2 linked regions of the Anolis sagrei genome follow. The protein of the gene in region 2 purifies or fractionates together with the protein of the main gene of each other region. This does not show direct contact. Links are inferred from orthologs where the notes say so. Each region holds a gene or a part of one and is shown on either strand. Other genes may lie near its edges.

Region 1 (7,363 bases), on a different chromosome or scaffold from region 2:
GAACATGCAACATATAATTGTCCTTCTTTAGGGGTCCCTTTCAAATCTATGATACTATGTGTGTGCGTCTCATATTTATCTATCTATCTATCTATATCTATGGATTGGTGGCTCTTTGTCAGAAGGGCTTTGATTACATTTTCTTGCCCTGGTGAAGACAGCTGGACTGGTTGGCCTTAAGTATTTTCTGTTGGCCATGGGGGTTCTGTGTGGGAAGTTTGCCCCAATTCTATCATTGGTGGCGTTCAGAATGCTCTTTGATTGTAGATGAACTATAAATCCCACTAAATACAACTCCCAAATGTCAAGGTCTATTTTCCCCAAACCTCATCTGTGTTCGTATTTGGGCATATGGAATATTCGTGCCAAGTTTGGTCCATACCCATCATTGTTTGAGTCCACTGTGCTCTCTGGATATAGATGAACTACAACTCCCAAACTCAAGGTCAATGCCCACCAAATCCTTCTAGTGTTTTCTGTTGGTCATGGGAGTTCTGTGTGCCACATTTGGTTAAATTCCATCATTGGTGGAGTTCAGAACGCTCTTTGATTGTATGTGAACTATAAATCCCAGCAAGTACAACTCCCAAATGACAAAATCATAATTTTTTGAGTGATGGGCACTCCTTGTGTTGCAAGATGTTTTGTTGCCAATTTTGATGTGATTTTGTTCATTGGTTCTTTTGTTTTTAAGGTACTCATTATGCACAGAGCATCCATATATATATATGGCAGGGGATGGCTAGTTTTAAATAGAAGTATGTGTATATATATTATTATTATTTGTTGAAATTCCCTAAAACCCATTAAAGACTGTATAAAGGGCCTGGACAAACTTGGTCCCTCCCTCCAGGTGTTTTGGACTTCAACTCCCACAATTCCTTTTTTAAAAAAAATATATTTTTATTGTTTTATCATAGTTATTACATTTGTTATACATTTGTTTATAGCAGTTACATATTATTCAGCACACTCTTTAACATATAGTCTTATTCTGCTTAAGCATTTCCCCCCTTTTTTTCCCACCACTGTGCTTCCCTCCCCCCAACTCAAGCCACAACTTTTACATATCATTTGTCCAAAATCTCATTTCTTCTTGTGGCGGTAAATTTTTTAAACCATTTACAACAAATTTTCCCCATACAACATCAAAATCACTTTTTTTCCATATACCTTTTTTTAACTTTTAATATACATGTCAGCTTATCGTTTATTGCCAGTTTCCATGCTTCCTTGTACCACTCCTCTATTTGTATATTTATTTCTTTTTTCCAGTTCCTTGCTATGAGCAGTCTTGCTATTGTTAATAAGTTTGTTATCACTTCTTTATCCTCCTTTTTCAATTGTTTATTGTTATATAATGATAATAAAGCTATACTAGGACTTTTCTCAATTTTCATATACATTATCTCTCTTATTTCTCTAAATACTTTCTCCCAAACATTACTTACATATTTACATTGCTACCACATATGTATGTATGTTCCTGGTTCTTGACATCCTCTCCAACAATTTTTGAATTACTTTTATTTATATATTCTATTTTTACTGGTGTCAAGATACCACTTCCATATTAGCTTATTATAATAATTTTCTTGAACCCGTATTGATAATTCTTTTAAATGTCTTTGTCTCCATAATTGTTGCCACTCTGTTTCGTTTATTTTTATCCCTAAATCTTCTTCCCAAACCTCTTTGAGGGTGTTGTTTTTTGTGTTTCCTTCCTTTATTTCAATTATGATCTTATATATTTTACTAGTTCAGTGGTTCTCAACCTTCCTAATGCCGTGACCCCTTAATACAGTCCCTCATGTGGTGGTGACCCCCAACCATAATATTGTTTTCATTGCTACTTCATAACAGTCATTTTACTACAGTTATAATATAATGTAAATATATAATGTAAATATCTGATATGCAGGATGCATTTTCATTCACTGGACCAAACTGGGCACAAATACCCAATACACTCAAATGTGAATGCTAGTGGGGTTGGAGGAGGATTGATTTTGTAATTTGGGAGTTGTAGTTGCTGGGATTTATAGTTCACTTATCAAAGAGCATTCTGAACTCCACCAGCAATGGATTTGAACCAAACTTGGCTCCCATGACCAATGGAAAACACTGGAAGGGTTTGATGGTCATTGACCTTGAGTTTGGGAGTTGTAGTTCACCTATATCCAGAGAGCAGTGTGGACTCATGCATTGGTGGATCTGGACCAAACTTGGCACGAATACTCAATATGCCCAAATGTGAACACTGGTGGCGTCTGGGGGAAATAGATCTTGACATTTGGGAGTTGTAGTTGCTGGGATTTATAGTTCATTACAATCAAAGAACATTCTGAACTCCACCAACGATAGAATTGGCTCAAACTTCCCACATGGAATCCCCATGACCATCAGAAAATACTGTGTTTTCTTATGGTCTTTGGTGACCCCTCTGACACCCCCTCGCGACCCCCAGGTTGAGAAACACTGACCTAGTTCTTTCTCTCAAATTTTCATGCTCTTCTACAACCCTTCCATTCTGTATTATTTGTTCAAATTGGTTAAGTTTGCTTCCATAAGCGGCTGAGGGGGTAAAGGAAAGGACCTGAGGCTGTTAGGAATTGTGGGAGTTGTAGTCCAAAACACCTGGAAGGAGGGACCAAGTTTGCCCAGGCCTGCTGTAAAATGTGGCTTTCAAAGACTACAAAGCCCCTCCTGGCTCGCTCCTGATCCACTTCCTTCTGAAAAGAGAGGCTTCAGCGTGGGCCTGTGTGATACTCCAGAGCCTGCTCCTCCTCCGCCGCCATTTTGGAGCCGCGGCCCAGTGACCCTTGGCGGGCTCCTCTTCTTCGGAGGGCTCCGCCGCGGCTTCCCTGCCGCCACGCCGAGGCCTAGCTTCCGAGCGTCACGCCGGAAAGGCCCCCTCCGCTCCCTGGCGCGCCCGCGGCCCCGATGGGCTTACCTTCCGCCCGGACGAAGCCACGGCGCTCGCTCGCCCGCCCGCTCGCCTCAACGCTCTCCTCCGCGCCTGAGAGAAAAGGGGCGGGGCCAACGGCCGCAGAGGCCACGCCCCCTCCGCTCACTCGCGCGCCCCTCCCCGCCACCTCATTGTCACACTCCACAAAGGAGCCCGCTGCCGCCTGTGGCCACGCCCCTCATCCCTCTCTCTCTTTTCATTGGAGGAGGGACTGAACCTTCGCTTCCTATTGGTGGGCAAGGAAAGGAGGGGTTTTCTCTCTGTGATCGAATGTGCCTTCAGAGTTGCTATGGTTACTAGCCCCTCCCGCCATTCATTGCTCCGCTCTCGGCTTCCTATTGGCGGTTGCTGGATTAGCCCCGCCCCTTCGCTGTAAGTGGCTGGCGCCAGGAAAGGCAAGTTTCAAATGCCTGCCAAAGCTTATGAGAAACTATAAACTACACAGAGAAGCCATTGAAACTACACATATAAACTACACAGAGAAGCCATTGAAACCCATACGTTTTGCATGGTTACCTAATGCTTTAGCTTTGCTCGTGGACCAGATGGTTTGTTTGTTTTAATTATAGTATTCTCCACTCATTGTTTCTGTTTTAATGGATTTTGAAACATTATTATTGTTGTTAACACATATTATTATATTCTGCCAGTAATGTCAACGACTTAAATCAAGACATAGTTTTCTTAGATCTACAGAGACACTCGCTGGAACACCCCAGCAAGCGAGAGTCCAAAAGTGGCAGGCCCAAACTCAGCACCTCAATTCATGGGTGATACCAGATGAGAGACTCCCCCCTGGGCACTCAGAAGACTGGGTGACTTGGAAGGCACTGAACAGACTGCGCTCTGGCACCACGAGATGCAGAGCCAATCTTAAGAAATGGGGCTACAGGGTGGAAACCTCGTCATGCGAGTGCGGAGAAGAGCAAACCACTGACCACCTGCTGCAATGCACCCTGAGCCCTGCCATATGCACAATGGAGGACCTTCTTGCGGCAACACCAGAGGCACTCCAAGTGGCCAGATCCTGGTCAAAGGACATTTAACCAACTACCAAGTTTGCAAAATCTGTGTGTTTTTTTCTTTTTCTTTTTAATCTGTGTGTTTGTTTTGCTCTGTTAGAATTGTAATACAATGGTATGGTTGCTGATGACACGATAAATAAAGTAATGTCACTCAAGGTAATACATAGCATAGCAATTAACAATTATACAAAAGTATACATAACTCTATTTCTGCTTCATTGACTACTCTAAAGCCTTTGACTGTGTGGATCATAATAAATTGTGGCAAGTTCTTGGTGGGATGGGCATACCAAGCCACCTTGTCTCTCTCCTGAGGAATCTGTACAAGGACCAAGTAGCAACAGTCAGAACTGACCACGGAACAACAGACTGGTTCAAGATTGGGAAAGGCGTACGGCAAGGCTGCATACTCTCACCCAACCTTTTTAACTTGTATGCAGAACACATCATGCGATGTGCGGGGCTGGATGAATGCAAAGCTGGGGTGAAAATTGCTGGAAGAAACATTAACAACCTCAGATATGCAGATGACACCACTCTGATGGCCGAAAGCGAGGAGGAGCTGAAGAGCCTTCTAATCAAGGTGAAAGAAGAAAGCACAAAAGCTGGGTTGCAGCTAAACGTCAAAAAAACCAAGATCATGGCAACAAGAATGATTGACAACTGGAAAATAGAGGGAGAAAATGTGGAGGCCGTGACAGACTTTGTATTTCTAGGTGCAAAGATTACTGCAAATGCAGACTGTGGCCAGGAAATCAGAAGACGCTTACTTCTTGGGAGGAGAGCAATGTCCAGTCTCAATAAAATAGTAAAGAGTAGAGACATCAGACTGGCAACAAAGATCCGTCTAGTCAAAGCCATGGTATTCCCTGTAGTAACCTACGGATGTGAGAGCTGGACCTTAGGGAAGGCTGAGCGAAGGAAGATGCTTTTGAGCTGTGGTGTTGGAGGAAAGCTCTGAGAGTGCCTTGGACTGCGAGAAGATCCAACCAGTCCATCCTCCAGGAAATAAAGCCCGGCTGCTCACTGGAAGGAAGGATACTAGAGACAAAGTTGAAGTACTTTGGCCACATCATGAGGAGATAGCAAAGCCTGGAGAAGACAATTATGCTGGGGAAAGTGGAAGGTAAAAGGAAGAGGGGCCGACCAAGGGCAAGATGGATGGATGGCATCCTTGAAGAGACTGAACTGACCTTGAAGAAGCTGGTGGTGGTGACGGCCGACAGGGAGCTCTGGCGTGGGCTGGTCCATGAGGTCACGAAGAGTCGGAGATGACTGAATGAATGAACAACAACAAATTCTTCCATATGGCAATGGCTGCAAGAATTGTACTAGCAAGAAAATGGAAGAATAAAGAGAAACCAACGGTGGAAGAATGGATGTTTAAACTCCTAGACATAATAAATATGGACACTCTAACACAGCACCTGGAATATAAACAGACGACTGGCATAGCCAGGACAGATTGGTCTCCAATCAAAAAATACTTCAATGTCAACCAGACCTAGACATGTGAGAGTCAAGACTAGAAAATAATACTAACACTAACAATGTTATATGGGGCAAAATCAGTAATTAAGATCACGAACTCTCCCCGACCCATTTCCTACTCCCTGTACTCCCTTCACTCACCTCTACCCCCTCCCCCACCCCAATCCTTATCATTTGCTTTTACGTAATTGTTGTGTCGACGATTCTCATAACATGGATGTATCCCCCATGTAGAAAACTCTTAATAAAAATTTTAATTTTTTTTCCTGCTTCTTGGCAGGGGGTTGGACTTGATGGCCCTCGAAGTCTCTTCCAACTATGATACTATGATTTGGGGACATGGAGGTCTCATTCATAAGCTTGCCATAAGTCGAAGGTGACTTGATGGCAGTTAGGAGCAACTTTCCTTCCGCTGTTCTTGGGTGGTTCTGCTGCATTTCTTCTCTTCTTCTCCCTTTCCCTTCCAGCTTGCCTGGCCTGTTCTTGCACCTTTGCCAATCCTTTGGCTGCTTCTTCTGCTGAGCTTGGCTTGAAAGGCCTTGGGCGCTTTCCAGAGTTGGCTGGCTGCCTTTTCTGATCAGGAGGGAGGAGGGGAAAGGCAGGTTTGCTCCAGGCGACAAGGAGAAAAGAGGAGAGAAAGGCAGCGGGAGGCAGCAGCCTTGCAGCTCCTGACTTGCAGCTTTCTTTGGGAAGGGAAGAGGAGGTTCAAAAACTGGAAACAGAAAGGCAGGAGGAAACGGCCAGAGATTTCTATCTAAGCACCCAGGAAAGGCAAACAAGCTCAACGCGATAGAAAGAAGGGAAGAAAGGAGAAAAAGGGGAATCTGTAAACACCAAAAGATACAGTATTTCAGTATGTATTGGCCATCAATGGGGTGCTGTTACAATATTTCCAAACTCACACTACAGCTTCATTCAATCAATCCCATAAAGCAGAGATTTCCAAACATTTCATGTTGGTGACACACGTTTTAGACCTGCATCATTTCGTGGCACACTCATTCAGTTTTTCTCTCAAATTGGAGATTAAACCTGTTGGGAGCATGTAAAAATCAGTTCGGGACTGTGTTATTTGTTTATTTATTTGCTGTCTTTGTATACCGCCCTTCTCAGCCCTCAGGCGACTCAGGGCGGTTTACAGAGGCAATGACTCGATGCCCAATACACCATAATAATAATAATAATCATCATCATCATCTTTATTTATACCCCCCACCATCTCCCCAATGGGGACTCATGGTGGCTAACATGAGGTCAAGCCCAAAAAATACAGTACAACTGTCGCAACTTAGGGTAGTTTTCACCTTGCTCAAGACACCACCATACACCAAAGCTGTAGGTTTTGTAGTTTATTGAGAAAAAGCAAAATCAAAACAGAGAAATAAATATGCAAAAATTCAATAGGCAAAACAGAGTCTTAAATGCAAAGACAAGCTTCACAAGATCCACAGGCAAATAGCATGAAGCATAATCCCTTAGCAATGTCAAACAAGAGTCCATGGCAAACAGGTAAAATCAGGATCAGAATCAAGTCTCAAAGGAGCCAGAGGTGTTCCGCAAAAGCCAAGGTAATTCCACAGAAGTTAATGGGTAAGAAGCAACATTGGGCTGACAAGAAATGCCTGTCAGCTACATCGTTAAATAAGTTTACCTGACATGAAAGCATTGCGTTGACCTTTGGCTTCCTTCTTGCTGGCAAGGCATGTGTTTCTGCAAAGCCTTAATTGCAAACGATCCTGTCTGCTCATTAATTCACCATTATCTTCAAGGCTATACAACTGCTTATCTTGGCCCAGCTGGGCCGGTTCACTCGGAACCAAAAGGAGTCTCCACCTGCACTTGTGGAATTTCACTATCTCTATCTAAAGGCACACTCCTT
Region 2 (7,736 bases):
TTTGCGAGATACTTAACAGTTTTGGCTACAAAGACTTAGATTGTATCTTGTTGATTTGCAAGATACTTAACAGCATGTGTGAGTGGCTGATCCAGGTCCATCATTTCCATGCAACATGGGGAGTTTCTTACAGAGAGATTGAAATCTGTGTGGAAATTGCAGCTTGTTGATTTGCACGATACTTAACAGCATGTGTGAGTGGCTGATCCAGGTCCATCATTTCCATGCAACCTGGGGAGTTTCTTGCAGAGGGATTGAAAGCTGTGTGGAAATTGCAGCTTGTTGATTTGCGAGATACTTAACAGTTTTGGCTACAAAGACTTTTAGATTAGGTTGCATGTGTGAATGCCTGACCTGGGTTCATCATTTCCATGCAACCTGGGTTTTTGTTTACAGAGAGATTGAATGCTGTGTGGAAATTTCAGTTTGTTGATTTGCAAGACACTTAATAGCTTTGGCTGCAAAAAGCAAGTTTTAGATTGGGCTGCATGTGTGAATGGCTGACCTGGGTTCATCATTTCCATGCAACCTGTTTCTTACAGAGAGATTGAAAGTTGTGTGGAAATTGCAGCTTGTTGATTTGCCAGACACCATCAGCTTTTGCTGCAAAAAGCGAGTTTTAGATTAACCTGTATGTGTGAATGCCTAACCTGGGTTCAGCATTTCCATGCAACATGGCATATCCTGGAGTATTTCTTACAAAGAGATTGAAAGCTGTTTGGAAATTACAGCTTGTTGATTTGCAAGACACTAATAGGTTTGGCTGCAAAAAGCGAGTTTTACCTTGGGTTGCATGTGTGAATGGCTGACCTGGGTTCATCATTTCCATCATTTCAAATCCTGGAGGGTTTCTTACAGATTAAAACCTGTGTGGAAATTGCAGCTTGTTGATTTGCAAGGCACTAACAGATTTCGCTGCAAAAAGCGAGTTTTTGATTGAGCTGCATGTGTGAATGCCTAACTTGGGTTCAACATTTCCATGCAACATGGCATATCCTGGAGTGTTTCTTACAGAGAGATTGAAAGCTTTGTGGAAATTGCAGCTTGTTGATTTGCAAGACACTAAGAGCTTTGGCTGCAAAAAGCGAGTTTTAGATGTGTGAATGGCTGACCTGGGTCCATCATTTCCATGCAACCTGGGCATGTCTTACAGAGAGATTGAAACCTATGTGGGAATTGCAGCTCGTTGATTTGCAAGACACTCACAACTTTGGCTGCAAAAAGCGAGTTTTAGATTGGGCTGCATGTGTGAATGTCTGACCTGGGTCCATCATTTCCATGCAACCTGGGCATGTCTTACAGAGAGATTGAAACCTATGTGGGAATTGCAGCTCGTTGATTTGCAAGACACTCACAACTTTGGCTGCAAAAAGCGAGTTTTAGATTGGGCTGCATGTGTGAATGGCTGACCTGGGTCCATAATTCCCATGCAATCTGGGGGTTTCTTACAGAGAGATTGAAAGCTGTGTGGAAATTGCAGCTTGTTGATTTGCAAGACACTTGACAGTTTTGGCTGCAAAGTGCGGGTTTTGGATTGGGATGTATGTGTGAATGGCTGACCTGGGTCCATCGTTTCCATGCTGGTGGTTTCTTACAGACAGAATAAAACCTGTGTGGAAATTGCAGCTTGTTGATTTACAAGACATGTAATAGCTTTGGGTGCAAAAAATGAGTTTTAGATTGGGCAGCATGTATGAATGGCTGACCCGGGTTCATCATTTCCATGCAACACAACATCTGGAGGATTTCTCACAGAGAGATTGAGACCTGTGAGGAAATTGCAGCTTGTTGAGCTTGCATGGTTTGAAAATGCAAAAGATCCACCCTTCTGCAAACCCTTCTTCAGTTTCCTCTCTACCTTGCAATCTGTTCACAAACACAAAGATTCAGAATCTGGCAACATGGGCCAGATTGTGTTGAGGTTTGTGTTGAGGTTTGTGTTGAGGTTTGTGTTGAGGTTTGTGTTTGTCTCCAATCTTTCCACCAAGAAAGCTTTGAATGGAGGGAGGTTGTGAGTACTGCCAAAGAAACCCCGCGTTTTCTGCATGAGTTATTTTTCTCCTGCAGGCAAATCCGTCAATGGGATTTGCCTGCATTTATTCAGAGTGGCTTCTTCTGAGGCTGAGAGAGTGTGGCTTACCTAAAATTGTTTTCCACAACTGAATGGAGATTCAGACTCGGCTTTCCCAGTGTCCTTAGTCCAAAACCACCCTAACCGTTTTCCATGAGTGCATCTAAACTGTCAAATTAACACAGTTTGACACCATTGTGACTGCCACAGCCTATTGCTACGAAATCCTGGGAGTTGTAATAATTTTGTGTAGTACTCTGGCAGAGAAAGCTCAGGACGCATTGTCGAAGGCTTTCATGGCTTGAATCACTAGGTTGCTGTGAGTTTTTCGGGCTGTAAGGCCATGTTCCAGAAACATTCTCTCCTGACGTTTCGCCCACATCTATGGCAGGCATCGTCAGAGGTTGTGTTTCTTTTTTTTTTTGTGAAGTTTTTAAAATTTTTATTTATAAATTTATCAAACAAAATGCATAAGCATACATTCTTCCCACTTTTTACAACATCGTAGACAGAAGAGTATGTCATATTATATACAATCTAACAGTAAAAAAGAATCAAAAACATCTTTAAACATATTTCTTATCTTTTTAAAACTTTCCATACACCTTATACTATGTATACCTCTACCACACACCTTTTATCTACTTATACATACTTTATTTCTTTATAATTAGTATTTTGTCATTTTCCCCCTCTTCCCCTTAGTTTCTAATATAATTTCTGTTCTAGTTTTATTTTGCTGTAACATGTTGTCCGGGCTTGGCCCCATGTAAGCCGCTCCGAGTACCCATTGGGGAGATGGTTGGCGGGGTATAAATAAAATTTATTATTATAATATAGTTTCCAATATACTTCACAACCTCTGAGGATGCGTGACATAGATGTGGGTGAAATGTCAGGAGAGAATGCTTCTGGAACATGGCCATAAAGCCTGGAAAACTCACAGCAACCCAAAGCTTAGGACCTTTCAAAATTTTAACTCCCAGTATCCCATTGCAAAGAGCAATGGTAGTCCAAGTGCTGTTGAACTACATTCAGTTTGCAATGTGCTTATTTTTTATTTATTTACGACATTTATATGCCACCCTTCTCACTCCGAAGGGAACTCAGAGCGGCTTACAAGATATATATACATGCAATATATTGTATTATTAGCATAGTACAATATCAATAGTATTGTCGAAGGCTTTCATGGCTGGAATCACTAGGTTCTTGTGGGTTTTTTCGGGCTATAGGGCCATGTTCTAGAGGCATTTCTCCTGATGTTTTGCCTGCATCTATGGCAAGCATCCTCACTACCTCTGAGGATGCTTGCCATAGACGCAGGCGAAACAGGAGAAATGCCTCTAGAACATGGCCCTATAGCCCGAAAAAACCCACAAGAACCTAATATCAATAGTGTAGATGCAATTTATAGTGTAGATCAGGGATCCTCAAACTATGACTTGGGGGCCGGATACAGCCCTCAAAGTTCATTTATCCATCCCTCGCTCAGGGTCAACCTAAGTCTGAAACAACTTGAAAGCACACAACAACAATCCTATCTAATCAACAAAAGCAGGCCCACATTTCCCATTGAAATACTAATAAGTTTATATTTGTTAAAATCGTTCTTCATTTTCATTATTGTATTATTTTTAGTGTTTTTGCACTACAAATAAGATATGTGCTGTGTGCATAGGAATTTATTCATTTTTTTCCAAATTATAATCTGGCCCTCCAAGAGTTTAAGCAAGCCCACATTTCCCATTGAAATACTAATACATTTATATTTGTTAAAATCGTTCTTCATTTTAATTATTGTATTATTTTAAGTGTTTTTACACTACAAATAAGATATGTGCAGTGTGCATAGGAATTTTTTTTCCAAATTATAATCCAGCCCTCCAAGAGTTTGAGCGACTGTGACCTGACCCTCTCTTTAAAAAGTTTGAAGACCCCTGGTGTAGATCAAGCCTTGGCAAACTTTGGGTCTCTGGGTATTTAGGACTGCAGCTCCCACAATTCCTAACAGCTGGTAGTTTGCCCATGCCTGGTATAAATGCAGTCTTAAACCCCCCCCTAAAAAAAAAAGAAGAAAAGAATTTGAAATGTATAGAAAACACACTGTAATCTTCAGGAGGCCTTGTTTACCTCTTCGGCAAGGTTGTTTTGAATCAGTGTATTGAACTATAATTACAAAGTAAAATACCTTTTTTCCAGTTCAGCGTGGTGCCCAAATAGGGAGCAACGTTTTCTTTTCACAAAGTAACAAAGGAAGATGGAAATAGAACACTTGTGGATTGTTTGCGCTTTTCCTGTGCTCTGATGGCTGTGTGGCGATGGAGTGACCACTCTTCCCCTTCTGGCTTGAACTTTTTCTTAAGTTGCTTGATTGTTGCTGTTGTTGTTTTTTTTAAGGAAGGGAGGAACTCCTCCCTCTCTTGCTCCATCCCCTTGGTCAAGATGCCACGGTTACGCAGCTGTTTTCACACACACGCACACACACACATCTTCGTTTTCAGGGGAAATATTCAGGGAAAGCTCCATTTTGATAACTGCCTTTCAGCTTCCTCCACGAGCCTTACCCAATGACTTGCTCCGAATGACATGTCCAAGAAATGGGTGGCGTGTCTTTGGCATGTTTGGGTGGAAGGTTCAAATGATTCACCGCCTTCCTTCTGCCGGGGCAGGAATGTTCTTGAAGCTTTCTCTCCGGTCCATCTTTTACGGTAGTTTCAAGTTTATTTGTAACTGAGGTGACTTCTTCAAGTTTCAGAATTATAGATTTCTTTTATAACAACAATCTTAAGTTTTATTCTTGTTCTACTTTCTGTAAATGGCAGAAATGAAGTTGTCAACAAATTAAAAAAATGTTCCCTTATGCTGCTTCACTCCTGATTCTAGTAACTTAGAAGTAAAGTTCCAAAGTTTGTGTGTGAGAGAAAGTTTGGTTTGTAAGAAGAGCAGTCATGCATTGTGTGTTGTGTATCTTCAGAGTGTGACAGCTTATGAAGTTGAGTAGTTGTGACCTGTCTTTGTAGAGAAACTGATTGCGACTGTGTTCATTTGGACACATCCCTAGTGACAAAAATGTTGTGGGCTGTGTTGAGGGACAATAAGAAGAGCTTGCAAGTAACTTTCTGCTTTGGAAATACTCTTCGCCTTTGTGGGCGTGGTGGGTGCTCCCTTTACATTTCCTATCCTTGCCAACAATCGCTGGGTATCAGACTGGAATGCTAACATTGTGCAGTCAAGCTTAATAACCAGGGTGTTGCCCAGCTTTTATTTAACTTTTGTTTTGTTTCTAGGAGCCGGTGGCGGCGGGAATGACATTCAGTGGTGTTTTTCTCAGGTGAAAGGGGCTGTGGATGATGATGTAGCAGAAGGTAAGAACAAGATCTGATTTAACCTGTTTGTATTATTAACAGCAGTAGGATTCTGGTACTGGTAGTTTATTAGGTATTACTTGAAATTATTGTTTATTGTATTCTCATGTTTTATTTAGTTTACTGTGTTGATTGTTCTGTATTCTGGTTTTATTTTATTGTAATGTTCTGTTGGGCTTGGCCTCATGTAAGCCGCCCCGAGTCCCCATTGGGGAGATGGTGGCGGGGTATAAATAAAGTTTATTATTATTATTTGAAACACAACAAGATGAGTCCACAGCAGACAAGATCACTTTGCTGGCTGTTGTATTGGATTACACATCGGACAATTCCCAAGTGTTTAGGACTGTGTGATGTATCGGTGAATGATGCATGCAGATCCCAGTAAGGTGGCCTTCTGCAGCTGGCAGATGGTAATCTTGTCAGCGCCGATTGTGTTTAAGTGCAGGCCAAGGTCTTTAGGCACTGCACCCAGTGTGCCGATCACCACTAGGACCACCTTGACTGGCTTGTGCCAGAGTCTTTGCAGTTCGATGTTTAAATCCTCATATTGTGTCAGCTTTTCCAGATTATTATTATTATTATTATTATTATTATTGTGTCACCCCAAGTTTGTATTCCTTGTGTCAACAGTAAATTGTGAAAGCTTGAACCTTGCGTCACACAGCAGCTTTTCTATATACAGTCCCTGGGTTTTTACCTCGTTGCTCCATGTGATATCAGGCTACTTAATTATGTGTCTTTAGGTGAGCAATATTATCAGCAGTGAAATTATTTTAGTACTATCCCTTTTATTAAGTATTTCTTGAAATCTCCTTGTTTCACCCAAGTTTTAGTTCCTTATCTCCATATGTGAACAGCAAGTGTTCAGAATATTTATTTATTTATTTACGGCATTTATATGCCGCCCTTCTCACCCTGAAGGGGCTCAGAGCGGCTTAGAATGTATATTTTCATACAATATATTATATTATTAGCATAGTACAATGTCAGTATATATTACTATATATCCTGATAATATCCATCCTTTGACAACGCATCCATCCTCAAATATATTCTAAGAAATTGGATATGTAGTTAGATTAGTCCTTCACAATGTGCTTATCTCTAAAGGTCCTAGATTATGATTCCAACACTCTTATAGCCAGTAACTTGGTACAACTTTCTGATATAGCTGAATAAGCCACCCAGTTTGACACACATGATGCTGAGTGGAAACATCACACAAGTTATGTAAAATTTATTTTTCAGAAGAACTGTTATGTTGTTTTCTTCAAGTTAACCTATATTTAATGCTTCTCCCATCTTTGTATACATTTTCTGAGGAGACTTTAAATTGCAGTACAATTTTTAGCATATGGAGTTAAATGCTTGGTGTAATGTCATGGGAGATGGAGAATACATGATGAGGAGAGGGGCACAACTCAATGTAGGACAGCAGTTTTTAGTGTCATCTGTGCTCCATGTGAAACGGGGAGCATGAGGCCTCCCAGGTGCTGTGATATTTGCATTTAGCTCAAAGATTGAGAAATCCTCCTTATACCATGACTACAACTTCCATCATCTCTCAACATTGCATGTCGTAATCGAGCGGTATCTGCATGATCACAGAGTTGTTGTTTGTGCTCTAAATACATCACACTTGTAGTCGCCAGCTGTGATGAAGACTATCTTTGTTTGCAATTGAACTGGATGTCAGTGCATTTTCCTTTTAGTAAATGAATACAGACACAAATTTTTGCTCTGTACACATTCACTATTGAATGATATGTTTTTCTAGCAAGAAACAGTCAGACAAGTCCAGTGTTGTCTGATCCTTGATAGTATCCTTCAAATCTTGAAAGTCTATCATGCATTTGGAATATAATTACTAGGGGATGCTATGCATACTAGGTAGCCAGGACTTGAGTCATTTTCAGAACTTATTCTAAAAAAACCCTTTGTTTGAGAATTGCTTTGTTTTTGAGAAGCTCTGTGATTCATGCTGCATGCACTGTGTCAAATGGTTATTTTGCATTTGATCCATTGTCTCCTTAAAACAAAATATGTCTAATACTGTATATAAGCCTAGTTTTCAGCCCTTTTTTTAGGCTGAAAAAGCTCCCCTCTGCTTATACTCGAGTCAAGGCTATTTATTCTTTTATTCTGTTATTAGTATTTTTATTTTATGTATTTTATTACATTTACAGTATTTTACTCTATTATTATGATTATTATTACATTTATTATATTTTATTATTATTGCATTTATTACTTTATTATTACATTTACTATTTTACTGTTATTATTGCATTTCC

The links. Proteins that work in one complex are often made in the same cells at the same time.
Region 1: the proteins of PPP2R2A (region 2) and CDCA4 purify together in Homo sapiens (affinity purification with mass spectrometry; 4 studies listed by BioGRID and IntAct, with this or other methods). This does not show direct contact. The link is inferred for Anolis sagrei from reciprocal best matches to the Homo sapiens genes PPP2R2A and CDCA4.

Annotation. Positions count from the first base shown.
Region 1 is NC_090021.1:328,645,907-328,653,269, forward strand, and holds the start of CDCA4 (cell division cycle-associated protein 4), read right to left. Parts: upstream 3,059-7,363; 5' UTR 2,954-3,058; intron 1-2,953. UniProt on the Homo sapiens protein: May participate in the regulation of cell proliferation through the E2F/RB pathway. May be involved in molecular regulation of hematopoietic stem cells and progenitor cell lineage commitment and differentiation.
Region 2 is NC_090027.1:6,823,508-6,831,243, forward strand, and holds the start of PPP2R2A (serine/threonine-protein phosphatase 2A 55 kDa regulatory subunit B alpha isoform), read left to right. Parts: upstream 1-4,640; 5' UTR 4,641-4,655; coding exon 4,656-4,782; intron 4,783-5,361; coding exon 5,362-5,439; intron 5,440-7,736. UniProt on the Homo sapiens protein: Substrate-recognition subunit of protein phosphatase 2A (PP2A) that plays a key role in cell cycle by controlling mitosis entry and exit. Involved in chromosome clustering during late mitosis by mediating dephosphorylation of MKI67.